Linked DNA regions of Mus musculus: region 2 is reported to be linked to region 1. The links are microRNA targets in miRTarBase. Many come from high-throughput screens and were not tested one by one. Region 1 holds a microRNA gene; the other region holds the end of a gene's coding sequence.

Region 1 (3,532 bases):
GGGACTGTGTCAGACCCCTAGGTATTAGGACAGAAGACAACTTAGCCTCATCCCACAGCCCCAAGAGCATACACTGGACGGCTGCTTTGATTTCTAATGGAAAAGCTTTCCTTTGATTTGTGGGATAAGTTGATGTCTCATTTCTCTCTTCAGGTATATATATGTATTACCTGAAAGCCCAGGGCAGTTGTTGCCTTGGGTCATGCAGAGAATATGCAGCCACACCCATGCCTTAGATGTGTGTAATTCAAGTGGAGAAGACACAAGCCAGTGGTCGCAATATCAACACTTGAGTGTTCTGTAAACGGTGAGTGTGAGAGGTGGGAGTCAGCCAGTGCGTCTCAGAGGTGATTTAGAGCCATCAGGAGGACAGGAGGAGCTGCGCTGTAGGTGTTAGGGATCTCCTAGTTGATGGCTTATACAGTGTACATGGTAATAAGACAGTACGGAGTCTTACACTTTTCCCAGTGTGCCGGCCTTGTTTTCACTTCCTGTTTCGCTCTTGCTGCTTCTCTCCCCTTAGATTAATGTTTGCCATGTGCAAGGAAATGGCAGAGGCAAAATGCTGGCGGCTTATGGAAAAATAATTTATAAAAAAATGATGGGTTAGTTCTGCCAAATTTGAGTAAGTGAGAACACGAGAAACCATATTCTGTTAGAGCTTGAGAAAAGGAAGGAAAGTCAAACGGTGAGTCTAACCTCATTTATTCCAGGATTGGTGTCAGCAGAAAACCAACAGTGATGTGGTGGCACACAGTGAACTGACAGGACCCAGGCAGCAGCGGTTCTTTTGGTGGCAATGGTGCCATGTCATGGGTACTCTCCTTGCTGATGGCAGATACCGACAGGCAAACTGTTGCCTTGCGTTTAGCTCTGTTAACCATTGACAGTAAGGTAAGCATGTCTTCAGCGTTCATGGCTCTTAAAGATCTTGTCTGTAACACAAGGGTTTAAGACTGGGGTCTCATTTTGTTGTCCTGACTTAGACTTGGCAGTCCTCCTGCTTCAGCCTGCTAAGTGCCAAGATTACAGGGTTGAGCCAGCATGCCTAACTTCTAGTTTAGTTTCTTCAGACAGGGTCTCATGCAGCACAGGCTGGCTTTAGACTTGCTATTGAGCATAGGATTACCTTGAACCCTTGATCTTCCTGACTCTACCTTCTAAGTTCTGGGATTCCAGGCATGCTCAGTTAAAACAATAGGTGGATTTAGTCATATTCTTCTGGAGACTAAGACAATAGAGTCCTTGAAGTCAAGCTGACTCTGCCTTTAGCCTCCTACATGAAAAGGTAGATAGAACAGGTCTTGTTTGCAAAATAAATTCAAGACCTACTTATCTACCAACAGCCATTGCCTACGTCCCACAGTCTTCCTACAAGAAGTGGGTGCAGTGAACTCCTAGATGAGGAAGGCTGGGAAAGCCAGAGTGGACACAGTCTCTACTAGTGATAGAAAGGTGCTTGGAGGTCAGACAGGCGGGTTAGAAAGTTGAGAACTTGTTTCCTATAATGCAGGTTTGAGGAATCCAAAAAGTGTATTGTCACTTACACAATTCTGCATCACAATGAATTGTAGGTGGGTCACGTAGGGCAGTAGTTGTACCAGATGTGAGGGTGAGACGCTGAGACGCCCAGCTGCCCATAAACTGGTTCTGTTTGTACTAAAGGGCAAGTACACGCTTCAGAAATATTTTATTTCATGTGCACAAGTGATTACCATCATTTGAAAAGGCAGGGAGCTGATATGTGTGTGTGTGTGTATGTGTGTGTGTGTGTGTGATGAAGAGTGAAGAGGGGGCTTATGTGCCGTGGCACACATGAAGTTCAAAGACAACTCTCCTTCCATGGTGTCGGATTTGGGGATTGAACTCAGGTCCTCAGGTTTGGTAACAAGTACCCTTACCAGCCCCAGGAGCCAGCCATTAAACATACCAATTTTTTGCCATTTATAGTGGCTCATGCATGTAATCTCAGCATTTGAGAAGCTGAAGCAGGAGGCTTGCCACAAGTGTAAGGTCATCTTGGGCTACCTGGTGAGACACTGTCTCAAAAAACCCAAACCAAATAGCCACCACCACCAACAAAGTCCAAAACAAAAAAAGTAATTCTGTGAATGAAAGCTATTTAGTTTACCAGAAGCCAATGCTGTTTTATAGCCCATGTTCCTAACTACTTGTTCCTTCTCTCTGCTACTTGTTATGTTCTGGGTAGTGTGGCTTTTAAATGCTTGCAGTTTCCACCCACGTCCTGTGAAGGCTTTACAGACTCTCTCCCCTTTGCTAGGGTGTGGAGCCAACACCCGTGCGCTCACTCAGTCAAGAGTTAACGCGGTGGGGCAGGTAAAGCGGGAGAAGAGCGGATGTTGATGGAGTTTGGTTTATCTGCTTAGTATCAGGGTCGTGTGACAGTGGTCTCAGTGTTAAAGATACTTTTCTATGTTGAGCGTGGAGTTCAAGGCTAGCCTGGCCGAGTTATAGGCCCCCCAGGGCTACATAGTGAGACCCTATCTCAAACAAACATACAGATACTCACATATAAAAAAATGTTTTTAAATGTTTATCTGTTTTGTGTTTTAACAGATTTATCAGAGGTTGCAGCTGCACATGGCCATGAGGTAAACCTTGCCCCTGTTTGAAATTGAGTTTCATCAGCTTCTACATGGGATTATAAGGACTTGGAATATATCACAGACCCAGCAGGGTTTCCCCCCTCATTTTTTTTTTTTAAGATTTATTTTTCTTCCTAAAGATAACATGCTTAAACAAAGTTCTTTATGGTTAGTAACTGTGATGCTTGAAGTTGGTTATCCCTTACTCCAGTAAATTTTAAATGTCAAAGATATCTTGTTAAATAAAAAAAAAACTATCAAAATTTTTTGGGTATTATGTTTTAGTCATGTCCCCATATTTGTGTTATGTGCAAAGCAGTGCAGGAATCCCAGTAGACAACTCAAACTGCCCATGCCTGTGATCCACGTTTCCCATTTGGTGGTTTCTATTTCAGTAGTAGAGAACTTCTTTCACTAAATACACATGCATATTTCATTAACAGCTTCAGCCAGCTTGTGTTTACATCTGCAGTGCCTTATGTCAGGGTAAGAAGAAGTTGTGTGTGTGTGTGTGTGTGTGTGTGTGTGTGTGTGTGTGTGTGTGTGTGTGAGAAAGAGAGACAGAGAGACACAGACAGACAGACAAGCTCTGTGGGCAAGTGATAAATCAGGAATCTGAGCTGCTGCTTGCACTAGTAGAGTCCAGAAGGAGACGAGAGTTGTTACTGCATCAGAATTAGGGTGGGCTAGAAAACAAAATTCTAAAGAGAAGAGTGTCTCCCTGGGCAGTGAGTAGGACACACCTGCGTTGGCGGCATCAGGGGACTTGGTACTCAACAGTGTCCTGGTTTTTCTCAAGTGAAGTTATTACTCTGCAGCTGGAGTGCTAAGCTTTGACAGTGACTTGAGTTGGGGATTGGAAATGTGAACAGGGGAGCCAGCAATGGAGCTGGTGGAGACAGGCACCATGGTCCTTAGCTGAAGAC
Region 2 (3,000 bases), not on the chromosome of region 1:
GCCATCAGAGGCTTATGTGAAAACAGATGAGATTTGGTGAATTATTTTACTGAAACCTTTGACAGAAAAGTTTCTGCATTGTTTCTTGATCTTTTGAACTTGGCTACTGAAAATACTGTATAATCTTGGATTTTAAGAAGTTGGCATTGTTAGTGTGAACTTCTGTTTTGTGATATTGGGGGTTTGGGAGGAACTGTGGTAAGTTTCTCTTTTAGTGTGTTACCCTAGTCTGAGCTTTTTATATTAAAAACTATTTTAAAAAAACCAGGAAGGCAAGATTTAACTTTGGCTCCAATCCTATGAAAAAAATTTCTCATTCAAATGAAATGAACCTAGTCAATGAATGCATGTTCAAGCTTCACAGTGTACTCACCAAAGAACTACTTTACTTTTGTTTGAAACTCAAAGAACCCATTCTCCCAAAGCACAGATCAACAGAAGGTGACTGGAGGCCAAGCAGAGCAAACTCAGGAAGATACTGCAGCACGGGGAAAGGCCAAGCAGCCCATTATCTCTGCGCTGGCCTTGTTGGCACTGGCACATTTCTATTGGACAGGGCTACAGTTGTTTTCAGTGACTCAAAGAAAAGGTACAGTTACTACAAGAAGCCAGTGACATAGTAACAAGATTTCTGTTGTGTGTCTCGAAACCAGTAGGTACTAGATAAACTGTGTTCCCATTCACCGCTTGCCTGACTAGTGTACCTGCTGCAGATGTGTCTTTGGATCCCCGGTTTTTACAGGTTCATGGGGCAGTTCTATTTTGGCGTTGGCTCAATACAATAAAGGACCAAGAGGAAGGAGCATGTGGCTACTGTCGGTTGTGTCCTAATATTAATGAGTTACAGGTGAGCTTAATTAGATTTAGGGAAGCTTGTTGGGGTTGTCAGCTAGTATGAAAAGGACCAACGGGACTGTCAATTTTAATGAATCACAAAATACAGCTGTTACCATTGACTAAGTATATATTTAAACATTTTCTGACCAGGTAAGAATATTTTAGGGTTTCTCTTTTCTAGCTAAGGAGTCTTACACAAGCTTTTAACACTTTGACTGTTAACACCCATCAGACTGTTCTAGCAATCCTTTTTGATAACGGTTACTACTAGTTAGAGGGGATTCCCTCCATTCAGAGTATGTTGGAGAAATAAAATTAATACCAGACTTTGGAAATATACATAGGCAAGGACAGTATTTCACATCCAATTCCATTTTAAAAACAAAAATAATTTTAATTAAAACAATTTCTTGGCATTGTTCAAAAACATTATAAGACTCTCTTTACAAAAGAAAACTTCTCATCTTGGTTTGAAAAAAAGCAAACCATTAAGCTACATCAGTCCTAAGATGATGGACAGCCTCCGCAGTCACACGAGAACTGCGTTTGCTTTCTTATTACACAGTCAGTTAGTGCCTTCAGCTAGAGCCTGGGCTTGTGTATTTGTTTTATGCATATTGGGTCTTGTTGTATTACTTGGCAGGAGCCTGTACTCCCTCGAGTCAGCTGTGTTCATTGGTCAGAACACATTCCAGTATCTGACATCAATTCCATTAATCACGGACAGGCATGAGTAAGTGACTGAGATAACTCAACAGTGAACAGTGCCTGGCTATGCATTCTATTCAGTGATACAAGGTCAGAGATCCTCTGAATTCAAGATACATGAAATGGCACTTAGAAAAGGATAAAGTCTTCTTACATCAAACAGGTAATACATGATTACTAATACTCTTAATGCTTCCACCTTGAAAAAATTTAGATGAATTTCCACATGAAGCCATCTTTGTTATTTCTTTACTTATTTACAAGTGATTGGGCACTTAGAATGAGTTGGGATATTTCACAATTGTACAGCACAAGATTTAGTTCTAGATGCAGCTAATTAGCATTTACTTTCTCAAATGTCATATCTAACAGTGTGTAAGCTGCTCTGTGTAAAACAAATAGCTGTCCTGCTGAAAATGACCACACGGGAGGTTCACTACACATCACTGAAGAGACTGCCCTGTGAGATGCTCTTTCTTCTTTTAACTGGACATTGTATAAGGTTATAATAGTTTATTCACATACCACATCATTTTTAACTATTTAGGATTTAAATATACTGGGAAAAAGTTGGCTTCAATAGTCATTAATTCAAGTCTTAGAATTCAAATTGCACTTTAAATTTGTATATACAAACATTTTACTTAAAAATGATTTTAAATCTTAAAACTTGAAACAATAGCATAGAGATGTCATAACCTACTTTTATTCCATTATATTTCAAATCTTTATGTATCAGGAATTTACAGAAGCTCAACCTACTCTTACTTGCTTCTTGATACAATCTAAACCAGCAGACATGTTTTTTCTTTTATACTAAAGGCTGCTTTTTATTTAATGATTGGATATTTAGGCAGGTCACATACTTTATAAAACCATGCCTAAAATTTTCATTTCCACTCTATCCAAGAAGCAAAAATGTATAATTGTTATCAAAGGTACAACTGGAGGTTCCCATACTGGAAAATCAATTACATATATAATGTTATACAGAATGTACAAATGTACATACTGGAGAACTGCACAAGCCATCAATCAAAGTCCACTTTCAGTTTGAACAATCTCTTGGGAGAACCCCTGAGTCCGTGTCTTCCTGATCAAATCACAAGTGAAATTAACTTTTGTAAAGGCAGTTCTGATTCTGTTGATCCAGGTAATGCAGTGGCGGCAGGTTGGATAAAGGTAAGATTTTGCTTTTATTTTCACCAAATGCTGTCTCACTTGATTTAGGAGGGCTTGGGAATACCCAGGAATTATCTTCCAGAGAATTTCTCCCATAGGAGCTGTGCTCTGGAAAGTCTGCACCGTCATTAGGAACCAATCTCTCGTTATCTGTCCATGACTGAAGAACTGCTTTGTCTGAGAAAACCTTTCTATCTCCTGGTAAAGGGGAAGACGGAGCATAACAAGGAGCTTTGCCATTTGGTGACAAAGAGGGATGTCTTTTGTAAGTTG

Evidence for each region. Region 1 holds the annotated microRNA mmu-miR-1839-5p (AAGGUAGAUAGAACAGGUCUUG, at 1,286-1,307, shown strand). A microRNA usually pairs through its seed, bases 2 to 8, with sites in the 3' UTR of a target mRNA and lowers its output. Matches are read on the target gene's strand: a 7mer-m8 pairs with bases 2 to 8, a 7mer-A1 pairs with bases 2 to 7 and ends in A, and an 8mer does both.
Region 2: miRTarBase lists Azi2 as a target of mmu-miR-1839-5p. The part of its 3' UTR that is shown has no 7-base or 8-base seed match.

The regions. Positions count from the first base shown.
Region 1 is chr7:81,528,634-81,532,165 of GRCm38, forward strand. Mir1839 (microRNA 1839) reads left to right here and starts at 1,283; the gene lies at 1,283-1,355. It overlaps 2900076A07Rik (RIKEN cDNA 2900076A07 gene), which reads left to right. Exons shown (of 4, transcript NR_160675.1): 2 at 154-307; 3 at 714-894; 4 at 2,578-2,865.
Region 2 is chr9:118,061,786-118,064,785 of GRCm38, reverse strand. Azi2 (5-azacytidine induced gene 2) reads right to left here. Exons shown (of 8, transcript NM_013727.4): 8 at 1-3,000. The coding sequence ends at 2,660. Cmc1 (COX assembly mitochondrial protein 1) reads left to right here. Exons shown (of 4, transcript NM_026442.3): 4 at 1-264. Among named protein-coding and RNA genes, the nearest start is that of Gm51660, 10 kb to the left of the region's middle.